Linked DNA regions of Lepisosteus oculatus. The protein of the gene in region 1 interacts with the protein of each later gene in a pairwise test. Links are inferred from orthologs where the notes say so. Each region holds a gene or a part of one and is shown in the gene's direction. Other genes may lie near its edges.

What was found.
Region 2: the proteins of traf3ip1 (region 1) and waca interact in a two-hybrid assay, tested with the Homo sapiens proteins (2 studies listed by BioGRID and IntAct). The link is inferred for Lepisosteus oculatus from reciprocal best matches to the Homo sapiens genes TRAF3IP1 and WAC.
Region 3: the proteins of traf3ip1 (region 1) and olfm1b interact in a two-hybrid assay, tested with the Homo sapiens proteins (2 studies listed by BioGRID and IntAct). The link is inferred for Lepisosteus oculatus from reciprocal best matches to the Homo sapiens genes TRAF3IP1 and OLFM1.
Region 4: the proteins of traf3ip1 (region 1) and frmd4a interact in a two-hybrid assay, tested with the Homo sapiens proteins (2 studies listed by BioGRID and IntAct). The link is inferred for Lepisosteus oculatus from reciprocal best matches to the Homo sapiens genes TRAF3IP1 and FRMD4A.

What each region holds. Positions count from the first base shown.
Region 1 is NC_090707.1:21,567,409-21,575,136, forward strand, and holds the start of traf3ip1 (TRAF3-interacting protein 1), read left to right. Parts: upstream 1-4,202; 5' UTR 4,203-4,335; coding exon 4,336-4,458; intron 4,459-7,067; coding exon 7,068-7,136; intron 7,137-7,728.
Region 2 is NC_090701.1:40,362,458-40,370,825, reverse strand, and holds the start of waca (WW domain-containing adapter protein with coiled-coil), read left to right. Parts: upstream 1-5,163; 5' UTR 5,164-5,410; coding exon 5,411-5,451; intron 5,452-5,649; coding exon 5,650-5,683; intron 5,684-6,519; coding exon 6,520-6,712; intron 6,713-8,368.
Region 3 is NC_090719.1:6,022,790-6,031,434, reverse strand, and holds the start of olfm1b (olfactomedin 1b), read left to right. Parts: upstream 1-5,277; 5' UTR 5,278-6,443; coding exon 6,444-6,593; intron 6,594-8,645. UniProt on the Homo sapiens protein: Contributes to the regulation of axonal growth in the embryonic and adult central nervous system by inhibiting interactions between RTN4R and LINGO1. Inhibits RTN4R-mediated axon growth cone collapse.
Region 4 is NC_090702.1:14,365,713-14,373,458, reverse strand, and holds the start of frmd4a (FERM domain-containing protein 4A), read left to right. Parts: upstream 1-4,530; 5' UTR 4,531-4,968; coding exon 4,969-5,127; intron 5,128-7,746. UniProt on the Homo sapiens protein: Scaffolding protein that regulates epithelial cell polarity by connecting ARF6 activation with the PAR3 complex. Plays a redundant role with FRMD4B in epithelial polarization. May regulate MAPT secretion by activating ARF6-signaling.

The sequences.
Region 1 (7,728 bases):
GACATCAGAAATATCAGTCCCATGTAATACTGCTTGCACTTCCACAATCTTGTCTTTTAGCATTCCTGTTTCAGGACTAACCTGTTCTAGGAGGAGATTCAACACAATTGTTTTAAGAGAGAATCTCTTCCTACTGTATTTCTAGCACAAAGTGTGAGCGTTTTACAAATGTAATACTTTAGTTTTCGTTTTGTTATAATTGATCTCATATAATAGAATGACACAACAGTATTTGAGAAAAGTAAAAAATGTCCTTAAGTTGCATGTTTCCCCTTTACATCAGATCTGTCCACCCTCTAATGTTTTCCATCTATTTGTTTCTGTTTTGGTTTCCAATAGGGTTGGTTTATATTTTTCTATACTGACGTTTTGACAGCTACTGTATAGCAAATATAGAATTACTTTCCTGGGGGAATGTCACAGCAAAATTCTGAATTAGTGATGGTTTCTTTATCTCATGTGGACTAGCTTGATTTAGAACACTTGTCTCCAGTTTGTGGGGATTACAAAGAGCTGTTATTTATTAAGTTTAACTCTTCTTCAATTTAATAATTCCCTTCTTTACTCAATTATTATTATTAATCACTTATTTATTTATTTTTTTGCTATATCTAATGCTGACAATTAGTCAAATATATTTGTAAAACCAATTCTATGATAATCCTGGTTGACTAGAGATGAGTAATACTGCTTTTAAGTATTCTACAAGAATATTTACCAAGCAGATAAATCTGTTTCAAAGATTGAACTTTTTCAATCACCTAGATACAGTACGAAAGAGCCAAGTTTCGTTCTTACCTGTTGCTGTCTTGAAATGTGAGTGAATGTTCGTTGAATTCTTACCTCACAAGCCTTCTTTTTATAGTCATCTAACTCATCTAACAGGTGTAGCAAAGCTTGAACGTCAGGCATAACAAACCAGGATATCCTTATCTTTGAAACACACTATTCAAACACGCCTCAGGGTAGGGAAGTACTTACAGTACATAAATGCTTATACTGCACCTTTAAACCCAATTTTAATCCCATTGATTTTAATCATAGGTGGAGAAAGGCTTCTTCATAATATATTTTTACTGTTCTGTATTTTTTTAACAGAAATGATTCAATCTTTTAATCTAAATTAAATTTTTTAAGTACCACTCATTTTAAACCTACCTGTGGTTGTAGGAAACCACAGGGAATGAATCTATGTTTTGAACCTAGTTTTGAACGCTGAAATTAAATTACATCTTTGGCATTCAGGTATTCAGGAAAATTAATGAGAAAGATCTAACTATCAATGTATTTAGTGACTTACTTTTTTATTAAAAACAATAATTTATTCAATGTTTTTTTCTCATTATTCATCTACATTTAAGAAGCAAAATATGATGACACAAACAAGATACTAGAAATTTTCATGAACCACAATAACAATACTTCTGAATTTTATGCTTGAAGACCTGTATTAAAGTACATCTTGGTACAGCACCAAAGTACAAGATGAGACTCACTCTGTAGTATATGTTTTACTTTTTTTATGGAATTATTGTCCTTTTGTAGCTAAGATTTTTTAAAAATCAATACCTGGTTTTAAGGTATGTTATTGATTAACTTTTTATTAAATCATTTCACTTTTATTCAATTTTGGCATGAAAGAGAGAGAAAAAGCAATCAACGTGCTTCTGTTTATTAACTGATTCCACTATTTCTATTTCTCACTTTTTTTTATTCCTGACGTCCTTGTGTTAACAAGCTAGTGATCTTTTGGCATTCGTTTTTTTGTAATTTATTATTTTAAAAACAAAAATATCATTATATACAGTACTTCATAACCCAGCATTTTTTCCATATTCCCATCCTGTTATGTGATTGAAAGCACGCCTAGACAAAACACAGTGCTACTTAGTGGTACACAGTTTCAGAAACCATAAATCTTTTTCAGAAAAAGCATTAAACAAAAAAGAAAGAAAATGTACAGCAAATAGAACAAAAAGTACACATTTCACGAAGAAAACGGTGTGTTTCATAATCCCCTGAATGCAACAAGACCTTAATTGCTTAGTATACCCTAACCACTCAGAGATGTGCACATCAGCTATAGCAAGCTCCCCAACTGTAAGCACGCTTTTCATCTGTTCCCTTGGGTGTGTCCAACCAAGTCATCTTGACGCACACCTGATAAAGACCTATTCAACTATATTCACCTACTGTATGTTCTTTTATTGAAACAATTTACTAAGTAGTATTATAAACTATATGCTATGAATGAACATTTTTATCACTGTGTCTTTCACAGGGTTTAACTATTTTCTAATCAATTTAAACTTAATAATAACAACATGTGCTTAAATTGGCATAGACCTTTTCCTTCCAAGAAATCCCGAGTGCTTTTCACAGAGAAGGGGCCCACTTCATCCATCACTGACCTGCACCACCCACCTGGGTGACACTTTGCTGCCCCTATGCGCAAACAGCCCCTGTACATAAAAGTGTTAATTTTTATGCAGCCATCTCACTTCACAGTTATTATGAATTAGGCACTTTATTTAATGAAAAATGATGTTTTCCGAGATCCACAATACTTTATAAAGCGTTCATTCTAGATTTTACTTCTGATATTACAGTAGGTGTTAAGTATTCTTTATTCATATGAAAATGAATTTAAAAATTATATGGGATCAGTAAAAGCAATAATCTAGTTATGAAGATTTCTAACTTCCTGGATCCCCGTACAGAAGAACAAACAAGCTTCCACACTTAATCATCTTAAAAGTGAAAGATAAACTAAATGGTTCACCAGACATTCCTGTTTCAGGGTATATCCTTGTTACTACCTTAAGAAACTCTTATGTTTAAAGTTAGGAGTGGCTGCAGGATCTCTGCATTAAAGCACATTAATGGTGATGTGCTGCTTACTTTCAAAGTAGTTTACATAAATTGCTTGAGGGGTTATTGAAGATTTTGTGTAGAGAAATTGGAGTAATGTTTCCATTGATGGAATCTAGAGAACATGAAGAAGTTTAATCTGTAAAGATTGCTCTTGTAAAAAGCACAGTTTTGTTAGAGTTAAATGGGGAGAGATAAATATCCAATGTGTAATTATGAACTGTTAAGTTATGTTTTTTTAAATGTTGGTTAACAAAGCAAATGAGAAAAAAAACCAAGGTGATTCTAATTCTATATAATTGTGGTTATAGTTGCAGTATATTTTTCTATAAAAGCTTTTTTTAGCTACTAATACTAAGGTTTTCACAAAAGAAAGAATACAGAACAAAATATTAGAACTTGAAATACATATTCTATACTGGACAATTAATGCGTCAATCATTTTTATACATTATATATGGGACTTTTTAGATTATAGATTTTAACTTGATATTGTTTAAGCTTTCTTCTATATAAATTTCCTTTACAAACATGCAAACTCATTAATTAGATGGGGGTAATTGATTGATTGATTGATTAGTTTTTAAAATGTTTTGAAAGAAAAATGCAAACAAGTTTCAAGTTTTAAAAATGGTTTCCTTATTTTCCATCTCATTCTTCACAGACACCTTTAGGTTACAGTTTATCTATACTTCCTAATTTTAGATAAAGGTACAAAAAACTATGGCTTTGTGTTAGTGCTAGAGCAATTATTTTACTTTAGAATTATTTACTTCAAACTTGGTTTTATTTCCTTTTCTGTTATTAATCTCCTACAGTACATTTTATATAAGGATTTTTGCTACATGAATAACAAAAACTCTTATCCCATATGGTAAAAATTCAAATGATGTCTATAACTCAGATTAAGGGGTGTTGATTTTTTTTCCTCATCAGGAATTCTTGATAACTTATTTGGCACAAGAACATATAAAGATCAAGTTCAAACTCATACAGGGATTTTGTCAGTGCTAACAGCTTTAGTTGTTCATTAACTTTCCATTACTGTAAATTCAGTGAAACGTTCTAGTAATAATTGAATTAAAACAGTGTTAAAACATTGATCAATAGCAATAACTTAAAAATAAGAATGAAATAAACCATGAACATTTAATTAATTTTTCAGCTATAAATGCCCTGCAGATATTTTGGTTTTTAGAAAAGGACCTCAAACGATCCAATTCTAAGAGCCTTTGGAATTCTTTGCATTTCAGTTGTTACTTGTTGCTAAGGATGCAAGCCTCGCTTGACAACCATACGTCACTTGCGCAGGCGCAGCTAGGTTTAGCGATGCATTGTGGGATCGGAAGATACCGACGTACTGAAAGCCCAGTGATTGCAGAATTTATGTGGTGAAGTGTTTCTTTCGGTTCGTCTTCACCTAAAGGACTTTTGTTTTGGCGTTTGTCTTGCTTTGCTGCTGCTATGAACGCGTCAGTGACCAAGAAGACCCAAGATACCTTGGGAAAAGTGATTAAGAAGCCGCCTCTTACTGAAAAACTGCTTAGTAAACCGCCGTTCCGCTACCTGCATGATATATTCACCGAGGTGAGAAACAGAACTGCAATGACTGACAACGGGAAAAATTGGATTTGTTGAAATATCCGTGGCTTGTTTGCAAGGAGGAGTTTCTCTGGTCTGTGTGTGTTTGTTTCGGAGTAGTGCATTTCAGTGGGACTAAGTTTGGGGTGAGGCTGTTCAGGAATAAAGAGTAGTAAAGGCTCAGCTGCAGAAAATTTAAAAAATGCAGTTAAGTTCTCTGATGTAACCTAAATAACTGTATTTTTTTAAAAAACGGACAATAGTCGGTTTCAGTGTAAATGCTGTAAAGGGTATGCGGTGAACACCTGAACTGTCTGAATGATGTAGAATCGAACTGGCGTCTTCTGGTTGCTAGGCACTGGTCTCTGCTCAAGTACACTAAACAATGCGAGGCCTTGATGAGTTATTTAAATACAGGACCGTAAAATACAAATATACCTCATCATTTTCTGCCCGGTGTTTGATTCCGTCACGCTACCCTTTATTTAAAAAAAAAGTTTTCTGTTCCATAGCAGTTGGTTTTAATCCCGTAATGTGTCCCCACAGAGGACACATTACATTAATCGCTGTCCTGCTGTGTCATGAAAATGGTAGCTAAATAATTTGTGCTGTTTTATTGTGCCAGTGTCGCTAATTAATATTACTGAGGTGTTAGCAAAACGATTATTTTACTTTGTGTCGCTCAAATCCAGTATATAATTATTACTGATAATTCAAACAATTTGGTCTAGCAAAGCATTATTTTATTAGGAGCAACATCTGTACAGAGATTAATGCTTTTACCCTTTACATCTTTCAAGAAATGGCTAGATAAATCCTTGAATGAATTAATTCTTTAATTAGCAAATGGGTTAGATGAACCAGAAGGACTTATATCGTTTGTAACTTTTCTTATGTCTAGCTGTTTCTTAAAAGCGCTCAATATTTTAACCTTAACCTGAAAAGGTTGTTCCACAAGCCAACAACATTTGTGTTAAGAAGTGTTTCTTGTTTTCCATTCTCAATGAATTCCCTGTGTCCTTATTTTAATACTGAGAAAGAATTTCCTGGCTTAACCCTTGACATTTTATATACAGCATTTTATAATTGCATCTTCTCTCAATCTCTGCTCCCTACATTATTGTATAATAAAGCCCTGATTGTAGGAATTATTCTTAGAAAGACTTTAAAAACTAAATGCAATTGTAAAGTGAGGTCCTTGTAGTGCATTTAAAAAAAATAAGTAGATATTTTCTTAAATTCTGCACTTTTTAATATAAAACCAAGGATTCAATTTGCTTTTTTATTGTTTTATCAACTTTGTTTTATTAAGTCATTGCTTAGAAGTGTCTACATTAAAAACCCCTTCATGTGTAGCTCCCGACAGTTCACCTGTATGATATACAGTATGTAGTATACGATCCTATTACTGTAGCAGTGTGAATAACTGCACTTATTTTAAATTTGATTTGCTGTGTATCTGTTTACCCCATGATTTTGTCTCTTCGTATTTCTTTTGCTACTGTGTCTATATTTGCTGCTCTCTCTGTTTTTGTATCATTGTTCATCAAGTTTATGGTCGTGATAATATTAAGTCTGCTTTGGTAGTACGTCATGGTAAAACTGTGCTACTGTTGTATTACCATGGCTAATTCTAAAATGTTCACAGGTTAATACGCGACTTGTGGTGTCTTCATATTTATGAATAATTAGCATCTTGCCAATCATTAAGGTCTTCAAATCATCATCATTCATCGTTAAATGATCACAAATGTCTTCCTGAAACTCTTTGCTATTTTTTGCTCTGTTTCACAATGTGGAACAGTGACCCTATCATTGTTTGAATTTGAGAAACAAAATCAGTGATGTTAATTGCGGAATATTTTAATTATTGAAAAATTACATGAGCAGGGGATTCAGAGAGCCTGTTCAAAGAGTTGCTTTGTTGCGTGATAGAAGTAAAGCCAGATGACTCGTCTTAAAAATAGCAGATTGAAGCAAGGCCCAGCTAAGATTATCCTGGGAGGCTGAGCTTGTATGAAGAACTTAAAAAATTAGGAATGACATTGTATGCAGCATACGTTAAGTGGGAAGAAGGAGATTATTGATCTGCCAAGAGTATAACATATAACGTATATTAGACACACTTGTGAACAATGCAGTTTACTTTTCAAGAACTGTAAAATGATGTATGCATGGAACACAGTCCCAGATTTTTGTTCTTGTTCTCAATCATCTGGATTTTAGAAAAATTTTTACCCTTTCCCTAAACAACATGTTTTGTATAGGCAGTCCCAGGCCTGTAGTCTGCATAGAACAGAGAACCTGTGGCATGTGCTGGTTATTTTGTGCACATTTGGTGACAAACGTGCTCAGTGTTTGTGACATTTTCAAACTTTTTTGGTAGGGTTAGGGGAGTCAAATGAAAGTAAACTCATGTAATATAAATTTGAAATTGTACATTTCAAATTACATAAGACAGTCCGCTAATAATATAACCTGTATGATCTTCAAAGCTTGATCTCTTTTATTATTTATTCATTCATTTGGTTTATAATCAATGATCCAAAATCCTAACATTCTGGAACCGGCTTCATTTTATAATTGGACAACTGTATCCATCCTGTTTTTCACAGGTAATAAGGACCACTGGGTTTATGAAAGGCCTTTATTCGGAGGTAGAAACGAAATCAGACAATGTCAAGGTAAGGTGGTCTTATTAACCTTAGCTTTCACATTAGTTCAGGAACATTATTAACAGAAATAAATTGCAGTTATCAGTACTTATTTATTCATTCAGAACACCCCCAAACTATTTTTATTGCATTAGATCTTTTCTTTAAATAAAGCAACTTCAGTGTAACTTATTTTATGCAGTGATTAAATGGGGAATAATAAAAAAGTCTGCACTAAAGGGAAAAACTGCTGTGGTAAGCGATCATGCCTGACATCAGTTGCAACATTCACAGCTAATGCATATTGCAGACTGAAACGTTATTAAATATTTAATATTATGAACACAACTGTAGAGGTTATAGAGTTCATAAATTGAATATAGAGTTCATGTGACATATTGTACTTAATGTGGCATATGCTCTGCTTTGACAGTTTATTAAATGTATGTAATTAATATGTAATTGAATTTTACTGCTTGCTGTAGTATTACATTTTTAAACATTCAAGAGACTGCACAGTATAATATTAATATCGAAATAAATCCAGAAGTTCATTGATCTCATATAACATTAAGCAATTTTCATTTGTATTACAAATGTAGCCAGAAATCTCGCATTTTTG
Region 2 (8,368 bases), on another chromosome or scaffold:
TCAGACTGATGTTTTTTTTTAAATTGTATGGTATTTACTTGTTATTGTTGCTGCTGCTGTTCTGTGTTTATGTTTTTGGTGATTCCTTTAATGTCTTTGTATTGGACCATATATGCAAAAAAGCAGTGGCCTCCAAATTGTCCTCATGTATGATTGGCTTGCACTTGCCCTGCGATGGACTAGCGCCCTGTCCAGGGTGCACCCTGCCTTGCGCTCACTGCTTGTCGGGTAGGCTCTGGCTTCCAACGACACCGTATGGTAGAAAGCGATTTGGCAAATGACATGACACGATAATTCACTGCACTTGTGCATATGACAAGAAACTGAACTGAACTGAACTGTTAGAGTTCATGATTCTACCATTAGGAAAAGACTGAACAAGAATGGCTTTCATGGAAGAGCAGCCAGGAGAAAGCCCCTTGTCTCCCAAAAGAACATTGCTGCAAGGTGTAGGTCTCCATAACAGCACCTGAATGAACCACAAGACATCTGGAACAATGTCCTCTGGACAGCTGACACCGAAGTGGAGTTGTGTGGCTGTAATGCAAAATGACATGTTTGGTGAAAACCAAGCACTGAGTATCACCACAAGGATCTCATACCTACTGTCAAGCATGGTGGTGGAAGGCTGTTGATTTGGGCCTGCTTTGTAGCCGTAGGAACTGGACACCTCACAAACATTGAGTCCACTATGAATTCCTCTCTATCCCATTGCATTCTAAGTGAAAATGTGAGACCATCTCTTCAACAGCTAAAGCATAACCGGAAGTGGATCATGCAACAGGACAATGAACTAAAATACACCAGTAAATCTATGACTGAATAGGATTTTGGAACGGCCAAGTACAAGACCAGACCACAGCCCCATTAAGGGACCTGAAAAGAGCTGTGCATAAATGAATGTCCTCAGACATCAGCAAGCTGAAGCAGTTGTGTATGAAGGAGTGGGCCACAGGTTTTCCCCAGACAAAGTGAAAGACTGATAAACTTTTACAGGGAACATTTACTTCAAGTTACTGCTGCTAAAGGTGGTTCCACATGTTACTGAACCACAGGTGCACTTACTTTTTCACACAAGGCTACTGAATGTTGCCTGTTTTTTTGTTAATAAATAATGACAAAGTAAAATTTGTGTGTGTTATCTGTCACGTGAGGATCGATTTCTCTACTGGTAGGACTTGGTGAGGACTACACAAAGGACAAAAATGTCTTATTATGTAAAACCATTGAATTGTAAGAGGGTGCACTTTCTGTTTCACATCACTTTCTATATGATCCTTTAGTTTGTTTCTTACTTTATTGTTTACATAATCTTGCATGTAACAGAAGTTAGACCTATTAGTCTTATTATATTGACTGTCACACTCATCCTGAAAAACATTAGCAATTGTCCACTCAGTATCAAGGTATCAAGAGACTGTGTGAGACATATTTGGGTTAACATGTTCAGTGTTCAGTGTGTGGTAATTTGTTTGGTGCGAGTGAAGTTTTATTTAATCTCTGACAAAGAGGGAAAAGTGTGGTGTGGACAGCTGAGGAAAGAATGCAGGCTCGTGCTGTGTTGGCTAGTTTGTTTTTTATCGATAAAGTTTGATAATCGGCCAGTGAAAGCTCTGTTTTCCTTCACACGAATGCCTGAAACCCTATACCGAACCCAGGATTTTACACTAGGAATAACACCTCTCATTTCCACGGGAGACTTGTGGTCTTTCAGATCACAGCCTGTCACTGACAGACCATATTCCTTGGTTAGAAGCTGCTTTCTGTGAGTTCTGCACAGAGCAAGTAACCATGTGCTCTCTACGCCAGCCTCCTACATACTGATGGCTCTTAGTCACTGCTCCCTTTCTTGTGCAGGTCTTGATTTGTTCGGCAAATCAAAGCAAAACATACCTCATCACCTGTGTCCAGTCCACAACGAGGTGACAATTCGAGTGTGTCACAGTCAGTCATGAACAATCAGTTCATCACAGCTGTGCCAAAAACCGTTCAGCAATATCCAATATCTGTAGAAATTGTTTTTCAGAACCATACATGCACAAATTGATAATATTGTTTCAATTCTCAGTATATTAGCAAGCAGGCCACCAAAAGACTGGAACACTAAAGCTGTCAGTTGGAGCCTTAAAGACTAACCCCTCTAAACAACTCTAATAATAGAATTGATTCAATTATGAAATTAAATTAAGGAATTGATGTGAGGGGATGTTATAATTTTTACAGATCAAATTTGAGCATGTTTTGCAGTCTATGCAGATGACCATCTATTTATATGTGATTTGTATTCAGGTCTCAAACAAATTCTCTTTTTACAGCTGCTGAAAATTGTGGGAGATCTTAATGTGCAAAGAAGGAAAACCAAAAACTGTGACTGAGCAGGGGAACCTGCGTGGACAATGAGATAATAACTTTTCTGGACACTCCACTCAAAGCGCTATACAGGTAATGGGGACTCCCCTCCACCACCAGTGTATAGCATCAACCTGGATGATGTGACTGCAGCCATAGTGCTTCAGAGTAGAGTAGAGTAATGAAGCCAATTCATAGAGGAGGATTATTAGGAGGCTCCCTTACCAATCATTATTATTATTATTGGTAAGGGAAATTTGGCCAGGATGCCACCCCTACTCTTTTCAAGAAACGCCCTGGGATTTTCAATGACCACAGAGAGTCAGGACCTCGGTTTTACATCTCATCTGAAGGACAGCGCCTGTTTACAGTACAGTGTCTCCATCACTATACTGGGGCATTAGGACCCACATGGACTACAGAGTGAGCGCCCCCTGCTGGCCCCACTAACACCTCTTCCAGCAGCAACCTTTTTCCCAGGAGGTCTCCCATCCAGGTAGTGACCAGGCTCACACCTGCTTAGCTTCAGTGGGTTGCCAGTTGTGAGTTGCAGGGTGATATGGCTGCTGGCTGTCACTGCAGAGGGACTGGAAGACACACATTGATTTCCTTTTTTATTTCGTTAGAATTTATTTCTTACTCAGAGCTCCTACCAAAGTTACAGTGCCTTATAAAAGAAATCAGTCCCTGCCTATGGTGTCTCATTTTGTAAATAACAAACAGTATTGTCAAGTACCTATGGGTTAACTGAGGACATACAGCTGACCTCCTATTCTGAAAAGCTCTTAGACAGCTGAAATGATTTTCTTACGATAAATAAGTTTGAAGGGCATTTGCTCCTGAAAACACTACGCTGCGTCATGACCATGACGTAAGAGTTAGTTCAGCGGTCAAGCGGACTTCAGAGAATGAAACCCACAAAACTCTATGTCAGAACACCTAATGGTTTGAACAGATCTGGCTTTCCTTGTTGTCTTTATTGGGAGTGCATATTTTTTCACGTCTCTCGTGTCTGCGCCAGAGGTCACCACGTCACGCTCTGTGACACGGTTCGGTAATTTCAGGAGGAGCAAGAGTACAGATCTGTGGAAAGGATAAGCAGGTGTTCGCATTCCTAAATCATGTCAAACTACCCTCTAGAATACAAAGTTTTGGGAGATGATGTATATGATTTAGATAGCCAGACAAATGTGAAATGTAAGATTATTTTTATTTACTTTCCACATTTGGAAACCCCCGGTGAGATGGGAAATCCTCCAACAGGCTGCACAGTCGTGCAACATTTGACACGCTTTGAGCTCAGTCTTGACCTGTATAGCCTGTATAGAACATCCCACTCCTGACTTAGAAGGATAACCTTGATTCACTCAGCAAACAGCAAAAGCAAGAGGGACAAGAATGCACTGGGTAAGACCGTCATTTTGAAAATTGTGTACAGCTTTAGCCTCCATTTTGGAAGCAGCCTGAGGATAGGCAAGAGGAATGTCTTGCATTGACAGGTTAAAGAAAGGGAATCATTTTAGTCTTGAGCAACGGATGCTGCAGGGAGACGCGACTCGAGTATTCAAAAGCCTCAAAGGCACTGGGATGAGGATAAAGGGCTACGATTTCTTAAGAATCCAGAAAGAAACGCCCCAGAGGGGGAAGTTCTTTGACAACTGGGAACAGAACAAACTTCTCTACTCCAAAGGCCATGCGAGTCCCCGGCTCGGGTTTGAAGCCGATAGCGTGGTTTCCATCAGGAAATGGCGAGATGGGATTCTTGGGAAAATCACCCACCTGCATTGAAATGACCTTGATGGGCTGACTGGCCTCCTCTTGTTGGAGGAGTTTCAAGATTTTTGTGGCAGATTCTACTCAGACCCATTTAAGCATGTGGCAGCACTTAGCATCTCCCAGGAGCTGAGACCTCGAGATTGTGATGAGTCAAGACATGCATGTTCTCAAATACATTTTTCTCATGATAATATAACACCATTAGCCAGTCCTTAAAATTTGCACATTTTTAAACCCTACTGCACAACATGCGTTTCAAAATGGAACCTAGCAGGTTAAAGCGAGGCTTGCTCTCCTGACACACTAGTCACGCTTCATGCTGTGTCGGTCCACCAGATGGCGCGGTAGGTGAAGTTCACTATTAAACCATTTCTTGAACTAAAGAATGTGCTCCATGAACGTTAACAGCATTATTATTGTACAATCACAACCCCGTGGACATATTCGCAGGCAAACCTGCGAATTGTAACCGTTTAATTTCTTACAATTCTTTGTTAAATCGTCACTTCTGCAGGTACCATTTTAATCGAGGTACTGAGTTTTTAACGAGCTAATTATCCTGACTCTCTTATTCTTAGACACATGAAATACGTTTATTAAATGAAGAGGATTTCCTCTACATACAGTAGTTTAGAGCCGGAAATCGTACAATACAAGGAAACAGTTCCCCCCAGAACCTGGTAATAATATTTTACAACGCAAAGAACTGAAACTTAGAGACATCGCCCATGCTTACTTTATAGCTACACTGCAGAAAACATCTGCCGGTTATATTGCACCGGAAGTAAAAGAAAAGGGCAAGAAATCACAACATTGGTGTTTATGAAAACACAGGCCATAGGCAGGACTGTCGGCACGAAACTCCGAGGCGAAGAGATGTGCGCGATAACAGCAGCACAGCTCAAGTCCGAAGACGCGAAGAGCCTGCCGAGCCGGTAACACCCACCGCGCTCCTGTCAGCACAGCCCTCGGCTCCCGGAAGTGCCTGCCCGAGCGCAGCCGAGTCGCCGCGCCGAGTGTCCCGGATGTAGTTGCGGGAGGGGAGGCGGGGCTGTGGGCTGAGCTCGGCTGTCTCGCAGATAGAGGTTCAGTCCGCTGTGTGCGAGTGGGAGATGGACCGAGGGCGCTCTTCCGATTAGCGCAGCCTTAAAGCAACTCACATACCCAGAACTATTGAAATAATAGCAGGGATCGGGACGAGTAAAACAAACAACAAAAAAAGCAAAACAAAGCGAATAACTAGTTTATCTTTCACATCCACTCCACTCACACACACACGGCATTGATGGTAATGTATGCAAGGAAACAACCGAGACTCAGTGATGGGTAAACAGCTGAATATTTTTTATTCAGTTTTTTTCCTCCCTTTCCTTCTCCGCTTTGACAAATCCGCCATTTTTGTTGTAAACCAAAATAAGTAGAAACTTACGGAAGCTGTTTCTGCTTTTTATATTTTGTGCATACGGACATCTGTGCTCCAGTTGGTAGCTATTTAATGATTTTCTTTCTCTTTTTTTTTTCTAGGTGTAACGACCGAAGGGATTCCCAACCCTATCAGGTATAAGAAACAGAAACAAGATTAAGATGGGGGGGATACTCTAGCGCAGGCTTTTGGAGCACCTACAGGCCTCGGTGCGGAAAATACAAACGAAAAGTAGGAAATTCGACACGAAGATGCGCAAAAAAGGGTCTTGCTGGCAATATAAGTGTACTTTATGATCGATAGGGGACGTCGACGATTTTAAACGTCGAATTTCAGTGAAATTGAATTCTTCGAAATTTTCGTTTTGTGCAAGGCCCGTGTGGCAAAGATGAAGGCAGATGATCCGTCCAAAATGAAAGATTTCCTCTTGAACCCGAAATGCTGAAATGATCAGAAGTTCCTCGTTGAACTCCTAAGGCAGTTTGTAGCACATTTTATTCGTGAGTAAACGGTAGTCTGTCTGCTCACGGACGGGGTTTTATTCCGTGTGTGCTGTCATACTTCTCAAAACAATATAGAATTAATTTCAACGTACTTGACGTATTCAGGACACTGGAAACTTTTATAGGCTGGAGATGGTGGTTTCGTCGAATGTTGTACAATGTCTTCGAAAAAAACTTGCATATATAACTTAAACGTCTAGGACACGCATATTTTAAGTGTCCACTAGGCTTACTGTTTGCCTCCCAACGAAAACAAAAACCGTAATAAGTACGTAGTCAATGGAATATTGTTTATCTATCGGGGTTTTTCCTCTGGTGTTTTCACAGCTGTCATAGACGACGACAATGTCATTCATTTCCGCCAGCCAAGTTAGTGCCATAGCCTGGTGTGGACGGAAAGCAGGGGTTGCAAACTTTTTTTTTTGCTGTCGTAGTGCTTTAAGAACTGTTGAATTTTACATTTTCCAGACTCTTAAATACCCATCAAAGAGTCACCCCGGCGGTGACCACCGTCATGAGAAGATGCGAGATTCAGCCGACCCCACACCGCCCTGCAAGATGCTCCGCCGGTCCGACAGTCCCGAAAACAAGCACGGCGACAACATGGGCCACAACAAGGCGAAAGCAGTGCACGCACACCGGGTCAGAGAGAGAGACGGAGGTAAGGCTCCAGTCCAAGTCGCAGGTTGCCTCATGGGTTAGGCCTTTTCCTAGAGTAAAAAAAAAAACAATGCGCAAAGAACATGCAGTCCTGTTGAAGAGTTATCAGTTTTCACGTTTAGAACACCTTCCACCACGCAGTGCAGAAACGTGGTGGTCTTTCATCACACAAGCTTCTCTGAGGCTGGGTGATCTGCCCGGTGTTTCATCCCCAGAGGGGTTAGAGAAGGTGCGACTTTTCACCAAAATGCTTAAGTGACAGAGAGCTCGTCAATGAGTTTATGATGGCTCGCAGTGTTGTCATTGGGCAGACCGCTGACAGTGCGGTCTGACCACGTTCCAAGGAGGCGGCTGCTCACTGTTTTGCATCTGCACGGCAGCATTTGGTGTGTGATCATCAGGAGGACAGAAATATGAATGTGATCTGAAATTGAAGTAAGCAGCTGTCAGTTTTTGAACTGCTTGAGAAAAGTTGCTGTATCACACATATCACTTCATTAGTGGCGTCACCAAGACTTTCAGGTTTTGACCTATTTCAGCCTTAGCCTGTTCTGGCAGTAAAGAAGATGTGTGTACAACTAAGTTCTGCTATTTTCCCTTTCAAAATTGTTACTGTCAGGCTATCTTACCATAGATATTATAAAACCACCTTGTATACGAGTGAGCTGTATGAATAAAAAGAACCCCAAGAGCAATTACAAATGATAGGAGAGCATTTGACTCATACATGAACATAAACATAACTTTCTTGATCATTTTGTTCAGGGCATAGTGTAACATTTTTGGTGAGTGTAGGCAGATCAGTTGCTGGACCTGGTCAAAACAAAACAGTTCAGCAGGTTCAGGTATAGTGCGGTTCTTCTTTTAGTACTGTTTCCTGGGATAGCGGGGTAAGGAAACTTGTATTTTGTTACAAAATGTGTAGATATTTTCAGATGTTTGATTTTGATAAAAATTGAAGGGGGAACAACAAAATGTAGTGTAGGCATTAGAGGGGGGTGGTCCTGAATTAAATCACACTGGATTTTAGTAGCAGAACATCCTGAATAAGGTTGATTTCTAACTTCTCAAACAAGACCTATATGTACCTGTTGCATGTTGGTGTGCATGATTATGGTTTGGGTGTTATTCTTATGTTTTTGTTTAATGTTGTCCTTCAGTTCAAAGCTACTTTTATTTTGAGTAGTTAAGATCAGTAGCCATTCTATAGTGTGTTCAGGATTTTTTTTGCCATACATTAGATATACCTGACAATAACTTGCAAACATCTCTGGATGTTCTGAAGTTTTATCAGTGGTTAATCTTTTAACTTTTTTGGTTAGTATTTTAATTTATGCGTTCAAAATTGGCAATCTAAAGAGACTAAACAAACCAGACTTTCATACCTAGATATTTTTCCTTTCTTAGTGTTTTTGACTTTGAATCTCCTAAAACATGCTCTTTTCACAACACTTTAAATTGACACTTAAAACTCTGGAGATTGAAGATCACACAAGAATGCTCACAAAGTTCCTTTTTTGTTGGATGACACGCACTAAACAAGGAAACTGAGTGAAACAAAATGAAATCAATTCAAGACGGGTGGTTTTCCAGAACAAATTGTCTATTAGAAACAAACTTGAATAGTGTTTTTGAATGTAGATTATATTCTACTGTA
Region 3 (8,645 bases), on another chromosome or scaffold:
GAATGTGCTGTTTCTGTTTTTTTAAACAAATTGAAAAGTATTTAATCCAAAATCTATAATGTTTTTTTATCTTCTCCCAAAGAGTGAATTAACTACAAGAATACATTGTTCTGTAACATTCAAATTTCACTGTAAAGTAGTGTTGTGCAACAACTCTGTATTAATACACTATAAACCTTAAAATGGCTCTGTTGATACTAGCATTTAGGCATTTATTAGGCAAAAGAAAAAAAACACTCTGTCCTTACCTATTGATTAACTTGCATTTAGTCACTGTAACCCCTGTAACCCCTGAGAAAGGCATGCATTATTTGACTTAATCTCAATTACAATGTGTAAACTGAAAGCAGCAATATTAAGCATATACTGTATACTGTAACTAACAGAACTGATTTACTGTATGTTTGTATGTATAGTAGACAAATTACACAATGGATTAGATGTTTGGTTGCAAATAAGTATCATCATCATCTTTAAAAAAAATCTATTTATTCTTAATTAATTCCTAGCCTGCTTCACAGTCTACTTAAGTTTAATTCTTACAACATAACTTTACTGCTTAAAGTACTTTGTTGACCAGGGTTTGTGTTTTTAGATATTAACTCAAAAGTCAAAATAAATAGTATAGCATGTTTTTAATAGACTATATTGGTATCAAAATATTCAAATAGATGAGTTTAGAGATGTTTAAAAAAACATGAGAGTGTAAGTCAAATTAGAACTGTACATTTCTTTACATGTACAGTATATTACTGGACACCTATAGCAAATTGTTGCCCTAGATTATATGGTTTATATTTTTACAAAATCATTAATTTATTGAACATTGTTTCAAAACAACTGTCAAAGTAAAAAAAAAAAAAAAATAATTAAAAGAATTCAATGCAGAAGTAAGGCTGAGACATGACTTTCTTCTCCCAGTAGACCACATTAAAGTTAAGGATTTAAAAGGAGGGATCAATCTTAGACCTCCTCATTAAAGGACAGTTGAAAATAATAGGAGTAATATGTGGAATTTGTAATTTTTTACAGCCACCCATTTTTTCTTGTTTGAAACGTTTCATTTAGCTGACCTACTTAAAACAGCAAATTGTGAAAGCTGATTTTCCAAACATTGATGGAAACAGTACTGCATCATAATTAGAGTTAATATTAATTAATATTAATTGAAGTGAAAAATAAAGTATTTTTTGCTGTACTGTTGTAAAATAAATCTTCACAGGAAAAAATGAATTTACAGTTTTCTTTGACACCATTGTTTCGCTGAAGAAATACATTTTAAAAGCCCCAGAGTATTTTGAAATCTTCTTTTCTCCTCTGCTAAAAATATTGTTATTTGGAGGCTTTGAGACTGTCAGATTCTGACAGATTTACTGCTGATTCACATTACAATTAAATCTGTCAGAATCTGAAGTGCTGGCACCCAGTATTTGGTATCTTAATAGTAACTACATTATACTCACTGCTTATAATGAAACTTAAGCTCTTTGTGTTTTTTATATCAGAATTAACGAGCCACTCTTTTTAGGGGAAGGCCAAAAAACTGTTTCATGAACATGAATATGTACAGTATATGTTCATTACGTGGTACTGAATACACAATTAGTTCATATTAGTGTTACTCTTAAAATACTCAATATATTTAAAAAGATGTAAAAACCTTTCAGTGGTGCAATGATGCCATTTCTTTCAAATTAATTACTTAGTCTGAAATCCTGATGGATTTCCATAAAGGTACTGTAACAATCTGGGGTTCACGGGGGTATGCCCCCTCGCCGCTGCCGCCTCAGGTCGGTCCCCCCACCGTCGGGGACTCGAACCTGGGCCTCCAGCATCACTCAACAGGGACCCAGCCACTTGAGCTAAAGGGAAATCTCCCGTCAGCCCGACGGCTGCAGTCCCTGCTATTCACAGGGAAGAGCAGTGACATCACCGCGCTGGTAAGCCGGCTAGAACAACCTGCAATGGTGGCCGTATGCGATACAGTACCTAATACTGTTTCTTACAGTCTTCAATAGCAATTCTCATTCATTTGTGTCATCTCTTTACGCAAGAGAATTGTCTGAAATCACTGAAAACAAATTATCTCTAATAAGTAGATTGTTGTCAGAATAAATAGATGATTTCTATCCCAGATATTAATATCATCATACTTGGTAGAAAACCACAGGTATGTAGACATACCAGAAATTTCAGTGAAGTTTAAATCCCTTGTCTCAAAGTCATTAACACTGTTATTCTGTAAGTAACAAAAAGAGGTTAAATAATGTACAGAATCTCAAGTATTTTATCATCACTTTCATATACAGTATGACATGCTCCCTACAATTAACTTATTTTTTTACAGGTCCACTTTTAAAATACCTCCCATCATCACAAACAATTATGTACCTCGAGGGTAAATTCTATGTTTTTATTTTTGTACTGCAAAGAAATAAATATATAAATATGAATTAAGTTTATTTGGTATCAGTTTCATAACAAAGACAGTTAATTGTAATTCTCCGGGCTTTGTGCTGTTTGTTTCAATGGGACCTGAGGGGAGGTGTTTAAAAATTTAACACCCCATGCTCTGTCATTAATCAAATGCAGACAGGTAGCTATTTATCAAATCATTTTACTTTGATGTGCAAATTACATTACATTTCATTTAAAGCAAAATCAGTCTGCATTTGAAAAAATAATAAATAATAGTCATGGGTCATTTGATGTTTTTGGCAGCACAAGGATTTTATTAAGGTGCATCTGAAAGCAAGAGCACTTAAAGGCTTTGGCTACTGTCATTTGAAATCAAGGCTGATGAAATCCTGGCTGCCCTCTGATTACAGGGATTTGGGAAACATAGATTTAGTTTTGTTGCAGAGCAGTTATGAAGACTCAAAATGACTCTTTAATTGGAGGTACTGTTGAATTGCTGCAGTGATTTAATATTTACAAAACTTGTGCTACTTATCAAAGGTTTGTCACATTTTTCTCCCATTCCTTATAATACAGATAAGAATAAAAAGAGGTAGGTTATAATGAAAACCACAAATATTATATACTAACAGGACAAACAATACACCTAATCCTGTTCTACAGCTCTACTTTTTCCTTCGTCATGTAGTCTTGTCTGGAGTTTGTGTACATTTTCTCCAAGTGCTCTGGTTTCTTCTCATCTCCCAGTGATGTGCAGGTTTCTTCTGAATGGCTACTTTGCATTGTTCTTTTCTCCAATACCCTTTAATAGACACATTCCATTTAAGGAGAGAGTGGATGTTTGCGCTCAATCAGTCTATGCTTCTTGGAGAGATTCATGGTAACAACAGTCTTCACAAGGTTAGGAGGCTTTCTAATGATGGGTGTAGCCTTCTCATTTTCTGGAAAAAGCCATTTTATAATAATGTACACATAAAGACTATTTATTTATTGTTTATATGTGTGTTTATAAAGGGAAACGCAAATTCCGAAGTGGGATGCAATGTCACTTTTGTTGTTGTTGTTGTTGTTGTTGTTGTTGTTGATGTTGTTGTTAAGCCCCATAATCAATATGATTGTTCTGCCTTTCAGCTTCTTATTGAAATTGTAGAATTCCTTCAAGAAATGCAAACAAATAATCTTAATCATTGAGGAGTGTGCACAATGTTTTAATGTAATTCAAGACTTTTCTTTCCTGTTTAAACTAACCAGCAAAAGTGTTCAGTCATTATTGAACTTAAGGACTGCGTTCAAGTCAGGGTGTCTCCTCCATCTTACTTACAGGACCAGGGTGTTTTCCATTTATTTAATATGTTCTAATTTTGAGAATTATTGAACATATAGAGTATCAACTGCTCCATGGCATTGGAAGGTCATATCCATTCAAGAACTAGACTATATTAGATCTATCTATACTAGACATTCAAAAACTAGACTATAACTAGATATCTGAGCAGGACAAAAAGTCATAATCCTGAATGTATAGCTCAATCTAAAAAATATGAAAACTGTCTACAGAACAGTAGAGACCCTAAAACCACATAGGGGTGTTAAACACTATGTAAGAAAACTAATACAATGTTAGTTTTACTGGAAATTTTAGTTCTGAGAATTTTATTAAACATTACTTTTCAGGGACTCCTCAGAATGTCCCAATTCTGTTACAGGGCTTGATTTTCATTTAATCTACAAGAACATAAAAAATACTTGAAGCTTAGTGATATATTATTGGCCCATGATAAATGCAGGATTACTTGTATGATTTTTACTTTCTCATAAAAAAGGAACTTTTGTGTTAAGAATAAAAATGTATTGGTAGAGAAATAACAATCAAATGATATGCTATTAGATGCCTAAGGGATAAAAGAAATAATTGTACATAAATAGATAATATAATGTGACCTACTTTTTTAGTTTCTGCTGGATACAGCCTGGTGTATGTACTGTACTAATTTTTCTTTTATTAAAGGCACCAGTACCCAGTAATATCTCAGATATTATCTTTACTTTCTATGCTACAATGTGGAGCCTAGGATTATGGAGCCCTGGTTCCATAAAGTGTATGATATAAAAAAATTAGCAGAATATGTTATACCTAACGCAAATCATTGGATTACGAAATGCCAGGATACATGAGTTTGGTTAAATATAATAAAATTGACCACAAAGAGGTATGTTGAACAATGCGAATGTCCATTTTTACATTTTTGCCAAAAGAAACGTATAATGCATTTATATCGTTGATATTGTTGAATAATGACACCTACAGTGTCAGGAGATCTAGATCTTTACTGTAACTGGGATATTACTTTTTTCGAATTCCTGGTGGCCAACGTCACCATCCTCGTTTTAGAAATATTCTTTTGGTGGTTTTGTGTAAGTAGATATACAATAACATTAAACAGTGTTCATAATGTTTAATTTATATTACATTTTTATTTACATTGTGCTCGAGCATGAGGTCGATACGATGGAAATAAGAGTGACTTCGGTTTGGCCGGCTTGCATTGAATAATTTGAATAGGCATTAAACCAAACAAATAACCCGAACTCTTTGAATATTAATTATTTCATTAGTCTATAAACAAAAACTCTATATATGTAGATATGTTCTTTTTTGTTAAAGTGTTGCACAGTAACAGCAAAGATACATATGCTGAAATACACATACACGACACGTACCTACAACAAATTTTGTAAAGAGCATTTTTCCTTACAAGAATACAAAGCAAGAACAAAACTTTAATGCAGATCAAAATCAATTTAAATACACGAAGTTTAAAGAATGCAGACCATCAACCTGAATTGTTTTGTTTCAAGTACAGTTCATGTTATGATATGGGACAGACAACAGTCAATGAGTCAGAGAATACTTCTGCAATAACCTCAGTTTGCTACAAGGGGGCGACGGAATCCTTCCATTTCAAATGTCTACAAACTATTGCATAATAAGAAGTCCTCTACCGCAGCGAAGCAGAGAAACAGATCACAAAGGTTCGGTATTAAGGTAGTAATTTATTACCTGTCGCCACAGCAATTCCATACATTAAAATAATTGGGCACTTCCAAAATACCGGAAGCAGATTTGAAGGTTGTGAATTTTGTAAGTACAAAGGAAAATAATCTGTAACGCATTTTCTCATTTTAAAGACGTGATTGATACATAAATAGAACGTAACAGAGATTCCGTCAAATCTTTATGACTCGAGTTTAGTGTTTAATTAAGTTCGTGAAGAAAATATTTTAGCGTTTAAACGTACTTTACTGCAACAGTAGAGACTGTGAAAATATAGGTGAATTTGGAATAGGTTATGCTATTGAAATGAACAGTTCAATTTTCAAGTGGATGAAATGTGGTTTTCACTTGGAGTAATTCAACGCTTAGCATCTAGAAACCAACAAAGCACTACAACGTGGGCATGCGTGCTCTTTGTAATTCACAGGAGAGGGATCCAAGGCAATAAAATCCAATTTAAAAGCACAGGCAGCAGCTCCCCAGTGGCAACAGGAGGGCGTCTCATAAGCAAACCAAACCTGACATCACATTGCGCTCCGTTACATAGATCCTCCTTACCTCCTCCCCCTTATCCATTTCGAACAGCCTGTAGTCACTTTCACACTTTCTCAACAGCGTATTAGACAGGGGCGGATCAAGGGTTTAATTGAAAAGAAAGGGCTAGCGTGAGAGCTTTTAGACCAGTGCAGGGAAAGGAGCGAAGGAAGATACTCAGCTATATTTCTGTTTAATCAGTAGCGGTGGTGCAGAACAGCATCTCAGTGTTACCTCAATAACAGAGCACTAGTGCTGCTCTTCGAAAAGACAGAAAAACCTCCTTCGCATCATTGATCAACGATGTCCAAGGCAAGAACCTCCACGCCAGGCACACGGGTGTTGCACCAAGCGTTTACAGGCAGGATGGATTGCCAACAATGTTTTTCGCTGGAATGTTTAGAATGAAGGTTTTTGTGAGACGTACAAAGCAGCGATGTCGGTGCCTTTACTCAAAATTGGGGTTGTGCTCAGCACCATGGCAATGATCACCAACTGGATGTCGCAGACCCTGCCATCCCTGGTTGGGCTCAATACCACCAAGCTAACGGCAGCGCCAGGGGGAAGCTTGGACCGAAGCACAGGAGTAAGTCAGGCATTAGCTAATTGTAATAAGTATAAATTGAATATTTGCATGCCGCCTTCCACTCACAAAAATGCACGATTGAATTAAATTATAACGGCGCATGTGTAATAATGGAAGAGAAAAACATTTTAAACTTTTTTTTGTTCTTTTGCACGACCCGTTTCACAGTAACTTTAATGCAATGTGCTGGAGGATTTAACAAAATATTTTTTTTTCCCCATCGTAGTCCTCTTTAATCAATGGAAAGGGAATCCATATACATCAATTCGAGCGAACACTGAGATTTAGTAAGATTTCCAAGAGTTTTTGTTCAGTCATCTATTATTTCAGCTTTCTCGTAGCTTGCTTGCACCGCGGTGTGCTGCAGTTTCAGTCTGCAGCGCACCATAGACCCGCGCTGTAGTTGTAAGAAGGGCACAGAAAGGGCACCTACAGTACTCGTAAAGATTGATTGCGTTATAAGAGAGGCTGAGCAAGGGCACATTAAACCACAGGGGTTCAGCTTGCAGGATTTAAAGACGCCGCCCTTCTTTTTCATCATATATTCCATTTTGAGTTAATTGTATGCTTTTTTTGTATTTCATATTGCACACTATCTCAATAATCTATCAAGAAATCTGCACACTTCCCTAGGGAAATTTAGTGAACATTTTCCGCTGCTGCAAATGTTTTTTAGAAGCTGTGGATTCCATTTATCAGTGTATTTCACAGATATTTCACTTTCGTAATGTTTTATGCTTAAGATTCACTTAATCAGATAACTCTTTTTTAACAGATTCCGATTGCACCAATTTACAAATAAAATGTGAACCGTTCAAAAATAACAAATATGTACTTCCTTAGTGAGTAATCAAAACACGCAATAGCGGAATCTCTAAAATGGATCGAGGTGGATTAAACACTATAGTTCCCATTCCATTTTTTGTGTAACTTTCTTCAAATTGCGTGTTGTGCTGTATTAAATTTGCCATTACCTTGTACGACGTCATTTTGTAAGACACCCGTCGTCGTCCACTTACTTTTTGACTCCTTACATCGACTAAACCATCAATACAGATTAAATCGGCGATCAACAATTTATTTAGAACACTTAATACTCTAATCTATAATTTTGCCTCAGGAAGAATTGAGGTTCCGTTACTGTACATCTGCTGTCAGTATTCTGGAAAGCAGTTGATCCACGGGCATATTTTCATTCACCTAGTGCTAATTTCTCTACTAGTCATTGTCTTTCGATTTAAAGGAAGCAACAAAACCAACTCAGTTATGCTTCCAATAATGCCTTATGTGTATAGCACTATTCTGAAGACATTATGGGGGGATGTGCTTTTGATTTAAAAATCACAAAGAATTTCCTTCGTAAAGAAAATAGAGGAAATATTTTAAAATTAAAATGAGTCTATCAAAAGGCATTGAAACATTTTTGCTAGAATTGTTTTGAAGAGAACTTCAATCATAGTCTACAGATGCCTATTGTTGTTAAATAAATTTGATATATAATACTATTGTATTAAAGGTTCCTTCAGTATGTCTGTCTTTCCTCTAAGGCAAATAGAAGCCTCACCATTTCATTTTGTCTAACCAATCTTTTTCAGTCAGTAAATTACATGTACTGTAATTACATGTCCTGTAATACAACAGATCAGATTTTTTTAATGGTTTGTACTAAAGTTGTGTATTTGTAGTTCTGTGGCATCATCATTTTTATATAATGATAAAAAGGGGAATGTTGATGCTATTATAGAGATACTGTAAAAGGAGCCTAAAACTCAACTACTTATGATACAAATTCTTAAAAAGCATATATGGAAATATGAAAGATCAATAAATGTTTTCATGTCCATTGTCCTTCATTTCATTGATCCACCTTAAATTCAATCCCTGCCTATGCTTCCATTACTGCAAAATCCCCTGATATATATTCTAAATCAAGCTTTGGTGTGTCAGGATGCAGTTGTAACATTACATCATCTTCTTTGTTTACAGAATCATTTCTGTGGAATATACACGTATGGGTTTCTGGTCTCATTAAAACTGTTTTATCCACTAAGC
Region 4 (7,746 bases), on another chromosome or scaffold:
TACTGGTAGTAGAAAAGATTGATAGAAAAGGCACTCAGGGTGAGTATATATTCTGGTCTGATAAAAATGTAAACTGGCAGATCCTGTACTGTACATTTGTTGAAGGTATGTCCGAGAGCTTAAAGGGAACCATGGTGTGGAGAGATATGATGCCCATGATGAAGATAAAGCATTCTTGTTCCTGAAATCTTACAATTGTGATTGCGGTTTAGTGTCTTTTATTTATAAATCAACAAGCATTACTATTTTTAACCTATGAGGAAATACAGTAGCATTTCACAATAAATATGAATAGAAGTGTTGTTGAGCAGTTACAGGGAGACATGATTGAGAATCCAAATGTGTTGGAATTCTGGGTCTCGAAATGCCTGTGGGTGTTCAACAATAATATTGTTGGCCTCAGAATCAAATTTCCATTTTGAATAAACAGAGAAGTTATGAACACAAACTCCTTTTGGCAGTAGATGGATGGATCTTGTGAAAGGGGCTAACATGCAGAAGAGTTAGTAATGTGTCTTGAAGTTTCAGCCATATACAGAACTGTACAGGTCAGAGCAATGAAGTTCAAAGACCTCTCCACAGTGATAGTCCACCATTATGCCTCTCCCAATTACAATAACGCTGACCTCTCAGTCTGTGTTCTTTCACAGGTATCCAGAGACTCATGTGCTAGAAATATATCAGAAGCCAAAATAATTATTACTCTTGGTACACACAAGCCACCAGCCCTCAGCTATTAACTATTCTAATTTTCATTTTCACAGTTCATTTACAGATTGCTGGCTTTTGTACCTCCCACTGCAATCAATCTCACATTCTCACATTTCCTTTTAATTATGCCTCTTTTACCCATCCTTATCCATTCTCACCTATTCTGACACTCACTTGCCCCATCTCACCTCTCCCTCATATCTCTGCTCTTAATTTGTCCTGTACAGAGGAAGAAACAGGTCTTTGGTCTTCTATATTCTGTAATCTGTCTGTGCTACTGACAATCTGTTGCCAGAACTCTAGGTTTTTTTATTTGCATTCAATATATACATCTTTATAATTATTAGAAGTTCAAATGCAATTTTTTTAAGATATTGCATTTTGAGATACTATTTCCAAACACCATTCCTGCTGAAAATAAATGTGCAAAATCCACTCTCAGTGGTTTCTACAGGAAAGCAAAGAGACAGAGGAGTGCTATAGGGTTCTGGGAGTTGTTAGGTGCTGCCAGATGATACAAGTTGTACTCTGCCTAATATTGGTGAAACCATAGACTGTTTTGTACAGTATATCTCTCTCAGTGAGATTTAACTGTGGGAACTGACACTTGGCTATAATTCTAAAACCCTGTATAACTAGTGTGAGAAACTACTATACAGTGTCTCAAGATGAAAACACTTCCTAATTTGACCATATATACTGTACACTTATGTAACATTATTTGGTGGATTTTAGTTTAAGATTCAAAGCTTTATTTACGGAGGCTTTTCTTTTTCAATAGCTGTATGTACACCACTGCTTTTGCAATAGGGATTTATTTATGTGAAGCCATCCGGCTCTTTCACAAGGAACTTTTAAAATTAATAGAATGAATTGTCTTCAGGTGCCTAAAGGCTTTGCCAATCATAAATATACACATGATGTCTGTATCAGTTGAACAAAAAAATGTATTTTTCATTATTTTTAACTTAAATTTCAACTAGGTTTTGCAGTTGAAATAGAGAAACACAGAATGGAGTGTGCTCATTATATCATATTTAAATATATGATTAAATTAATGACAATTTAATTTATGATTTAATTAGATTGTATTCATTTTTTTTATCATTCTTTTTAAATAATTCATTCCTTTCAGAGGTTGTTAAAATAAAAAACTAGACTTCTGCACTGGAAAACTTTCACACCAGGTCACTGAATTCCATGAACTTTCCCAGGGTTCTATGAGGAACTTATATACACAGAGCCCTGGGAACATCTTTAAATACCAAATATTTGCACGTTCCCTAAAAGACACTCGGCAGCAGTAGCATTTCTGCAAATGTTAATAATGTACAGCCACTACTCGCAAAGAATATAATTCAGAAAAACTGTATTGCACCCTAAAATACCTTGATTACCTGCAATTATATTTTTGCTTCTAATCTTTCTTATGATAACCTCATGTGAACAAAAGTAGAGCAAAAATGAAGAAGTAATGAATATATAATCTCATCATAGTTAATAATAATAACATAATAATAATAATAATAATAATAATAGTGTTGTAACTCCATTTTCTGTGGGAAAGTGCAATGCAAGATGTTTTAAGAAAACATAGGAAAGGTTATAACATATTTTGACAATTTTTGGTAGATTTTCTTGCTAATTGATCTGATTTTTACTAAAAAAAAACTAACTTGTTTGAGAAAATTAGCACTTTGACCACTCCAAAGCAGGTAGTTTTGTCTGTGCTTTAGAAAATAAATTAACCCAATTTTAAAATCACAGGTAGGTCTTTCTTATTGTATATCTATGATTATGTGTAACTATTGTGCACGATCTGGAAATAGCCAGCTTGGGTGTGTACAGTACATGTGCTGTTGTATAATTGGAACTGGGGTGTGTGAGGAGGTTGATTTTGAAATTGTAGCAGTGGCAAAATACCATCTTACTTTGGCTACAACTCAGAGGAACGACAAAAAATAAAATATAATCCTGTTGAGCCAGTTGCAAAATAATTAATAGACCTAATGGAACAATATTAATCATTTGATGACTGTTATTACATGATCATGGAAATTAAGCAATTAAGCAGAGCAAAGAGAATCTGGAGACATGGTATAAGTGGGGAGCTGTTTCAGTCTGAAAGTTGTAAAAGAACAAGTAGAGTTCAATTCCACACTGAAAAGTAAAAAGAAAAAAGAAAATAACTTTTAAATTCCCAGCTCCAACTACTTCCCATCATAATGCTAGTACAAACATTTTTTAATAGGGTGTTTACAGTTACAAGCAGTTAGTGGTCGAAGGTTATTTTTGCATTTTTCCAAAGATACAGTGTTCAAGCACAAGGTTAAAGCTGAGTTTGATGCCTAAAAGTCCTTATAGGTGGCCCCACATCAATACCCACAATAAATCTGCCACTTGTAAAGATGCATTTAATCAGCAATGCATGTGCTTAAGTACATTGATCTTACTTTGTATTGATTTTGGGTTTTGTTTTCTGCAGAAGTGCAGAAAAATACAGAGTATTTCTGATAATTAAACTGGCAAGTGATGAACACCCCTTGTTCAGAAATATACTCTGATTATCTAAGGCTTTTTTGATTGAGGTTCATAAAACAAGCACCTCAAGTATGTTAAAGTTTAAAGTATGTTAAAATGTGTCAATTTTTTGTAGTTTGACAAAATAACAAGCTTATAATGCCTAATTCAAGTGCTATCATTAACAACAAACAAATATCAGCTTCCCAATTGGAGTATGGAAAACGTATGTAGCTAGAATAATTTGAGATGTGCCCTGCATGAGTGATTTCAGACCAGAAACACAGGGCTGGAGATAGTCATTTTAAAAGTCTGCATACATTAAGAATGCACTTTGACTTTGTGTGCTTTTAGTTGTGCATGTTTTCAAGGACGTTTAGTAGTAATAGTTAAGGACAAACATTCCTCATTTGTATTACAAACTGCTGAGCATGATACAATGCTAGCAGGACCAATTAAGAACTAAAAGCAGTTATTTCCCGCAGATTAGTTGGTATGCAGCCTTAAATGTTCTCAGGCAGACATCAGGAAAGGGACAATTAAGATGGAATTGGGAAAACATAATTTATTGCGAGGGACCTGGGAGCAGTCATTCTGATAGGAAATTTGACCAGGAGTTACATGTTATAGTTTTCATATAGGTCAATGTAATATGTACAAGTTATTTGTAAGTATGTCTGCTTTTTTAAAATTACAGAACAGTTTAATACTTCAGTTATGTAGTAAGTGCAAAATTGCTGACATATTTTAGTTGCGATAGAAAATATTGTCATTTGCCATCGAAATTATAGTGTCTTCATGTAAAATGCTACTGACTCAGGCCTCTGTCAAAAGACTCTATGGCGTTAGCTGTTGGCATGATGGCAATCCTACATATTTTCAGCTGTTCGATCACAAGAATGTGAACATACAGATTGGATGCCTCATTTAGGAATTCTTGGAAGTCTTTTTAGCTGTTAACCCTTCAGCAGTTAATGTGACTTGCAACTTCTGAAACAGGCTACAGAGGAGTGTTTTCTTTAACAGCTCACAAGCCTCCCTAAAACTTGACTGCCTGTCAGCTTACCCAGATAACCTTCTGGATTTTTTTTGCTCTAAATGGCCATCTTTTTTTCGAGTGGGTAACCTTCTGTATTTGTGGGGTTGACAGGGTTAAACAGAAAAACAGAATGTCCTGGGAATGTTGGCACTGAGGCAAAGGGCTTTTTTTAAGACTCTGGACAAGCTCCCAGCAGAGACTAGTAAACCCCCACAAGATGCTAAGTTTGTTCCTCTGTTGCCTTTTAGAAAGTCAGGAAGGGGAGATAGTGTATCACGTAGCTGCGGCATTGTGCGTGAGGACATCTGATTATCTTCAGAGGCAGAAGACACTACTGTACCTCGCCTACTCCCAGATGGATTTCACATTTATCTGAAGATTTATCTCAGAGGGATTATACTATTCAGCACAAAATAAACACTCCAAAAAGTTTCTATTGGCTCAGAATATTCCTTTGTGGATATTTTAGTACTTTTTGCGTGTTATTCCAAATTTGTCTTTCTGCAGATGGAATAGAGGAAAACTCAGGAGGCACATGTTTCAGCTGCGTGGGAGAGAGGTTACTTGGGGTTGCTCTGAATTTTACCAGGTCCCTGTGTGTTTTTAAAGGGAACTTTTCTGAAAAGCATCAAGTGTAAGATATGCTGTACCTGTGAAAGTTACCTGGCTGTCAACAATACCTTGACTATCAAGTTGCAATGGAGGCTGTGTTAATTGGCTTTGAAGAGATCTTCTTTAATAGAGATGGCCTCCTATGGAATTTGACTTCTCAAGCTTTCAGAAGGTGGCGGATTATGAACCTACGGGCCTTGCATCTGATGTTCCGGTCAAGATGTGTTTCAAGAACAGTGTACCAGGTGGGCACAAAATATCTCAACAGGCATTCAAACATTTTAGCAATAAATTAGAATAAGAGCTAATGTGATGTGAGGTGAGACTTCAAATAGTGGACTCTCATTCTGGAACAGATGTTCAAAGTTTTTAAATTATGAGGATGTTTTTCATTTGGAGTTAGATATTAAAGCATTTAGGTTTCCTGGCTCTTAACCACAATTCTTCCCAAAAGACTGATAAATGGTTAACTTCCTTCTTCAGTGTAATATATTAATGAAAAAAAGTTATGGTTTGGCTAAGATTATTTCCTGTGCTAGTTCAGAATATGAACATGTCTTGCAATGTTGCCATGACTATTTCAACAGACTTCTTCACTGCAGCATGTCCAAGTACATCGTATAACAAAAGACTACTGTTTTTAATAAAGACATCTTTATTTCTGCCTGTTCAGGTGTCCTGCATGGCTCACTGATTTCTAAACTTAATAGAAATGGCCAATGAAAGGTCACCGAAAACCAAAATGGTATTTAAATTCCATTTAAAAAAAATACCTCTGTAAAATGTAATATTATTCATACTCAGACAAGTGGACTGTTTTATTCTTTCAGACTGCTGTTTTCATCAAAGTCATTTTCAATCAAATATCCATACAGAAAGCTACCCCCTTAACTCTGAAACCCAGTCACAATGGAAAGAAACAAATACATATTTATGTGGTTTTTAAGGTTCACAAATGTAGAATTGAATATAGGGAATTTTGCATGCAAGCTTAAGTTGTGTTTTGTACTGGGAGAACTTTCAAAGTGGTTTGCCTTGTGTGTGCAGATGAAGATAATATACCATTGAATAATTAACACTATCCATCTCAGTTGTGGTGTCGTAGATGGTACATAGAGTAGCTGGAGAAGATGCCACTAGTTGTCTTAGTTCAACAGGGTCAGAAGCAGGTAGCAGACAGGTCTATTGACTCTTTAATTTGCAGAGATTAGTTATCGTCATTACATTCTGATTTGCTATCACTGTCCATAACTATGTCCGCGAGAGCTCCATGTGAAGTAATAAGACCTGCCTGTGTTTTCATCATGAAGTCTGACAGCCAAGACTCACGAGACAGTGGCTGATTTGTATGCGCCGAACAATCTGATTCCAGTCTCTCGGTGCGTGATTATTGCATTTGTGAAGCAGGCAAAGTGGAGAGGGAAAGAAATGAAGTCTCAGAAATGAAGTCCCAGATTTCACAATGGGAAAAGACAAACGCTCTGATTTGGAGGTTATTATTTTTTAGATGTTTTTTGCCTTGACTTTCACCAAAAATTAAAAAAACATACAACTTGTAGAGATGTCCCTCCTTTACATGCAACAGTAATAGATTATTACTTCTTCAGTGAAGTGTATTATGTGAGTATATGATTCATGAAGAGCTGTCCTGGTTATGTATGTAGACCTGTTACAGTGAGGCAAAACAATGTAAAGTGTTAATTTGGAGTTATCTATTTAGAGTAAAATATCTTTACTAACTCCAAAAAAAAAACATATGAATTCATACGAATAGCTTTAATAATAAATTCATTAGGAATGTAAATTACAAAATATCTTGAAGTACTGTAGATATTTAAAAAAATAACTCAGCCGTCTAAGTCATAGATCTCAACAACTGTTATTTCTATATGGCAAGACCTGTGTAATTAAAGGATGTTTCTCGTGGATTGTTTTCAAGTGCAAGTGTTTTACTGTAGGGTGTGTACTCACAAAGAGAGGAAGCAGAAATTATCCTCAGTATGGGTAGAGACCTAATCAAGGGAAGGGTCAGGGCTTCAGTCTCTGAGACAGGGAAAATCCAAGGCTTCAAGCATATTTTAACAGACCAGTTTCCTTTATTAGGCTGTTTAATGTAACTTCCAGCTCTCAGTTGTTGGCACAGACTGTGTAGTTCACAGGCTTTATAGCATTGGCTCAGCTATCTCAAAAATATGTTGTCTGGCATTGAACACTTGTCTGCACCCGAGCCCAAGAGACATGCTTTACATACATATCCTCTAACACAAATCCAAATTCCCTTCATAATCTGCAGATATTCATTACTGCCCAGTCATTTTCCTTTTTTAAAAATGGATATACATCCAGGTTTTTAATTCCCTCTAGAATACACTTATCTTCTTCCTCAACATTCTCCTAATTAGCATTCTACTGTTTTCTACAGACATAAAAACGAGTAAAAAGCAGTACTGGTTACCTTTAAAACTGGCTACAAGTTTTAAATAAGCTTACCATTCCCATTAAATATTAAACTGTATATAAGAAGTGGTGACATTGTAATACAACTCAGTTTTTTCTTAATTCTCCAATATCCATCAAATCCATTTTTACACCCTAGACGTGATGCCAGACTATTGCAGGGTACACATACACACTCTTACATCAGGACCAGTTTTTCCATAAGAAAGTTAACCTATTAATATGGCTTTGGACTGTGTGAGGAAACTGGAGGACCTGATGGAAACCCTTGTGAGCACAGGGAGAACATACAAATTCCACACACATACCACGTCAGGTCTGGAACTGAACAAGGGTCCCAGCACTGCAAGACACCAATGCTAACCACTTGTGCCACTGTGCTGGCCTCTTCCAATATCCCAAAGCAA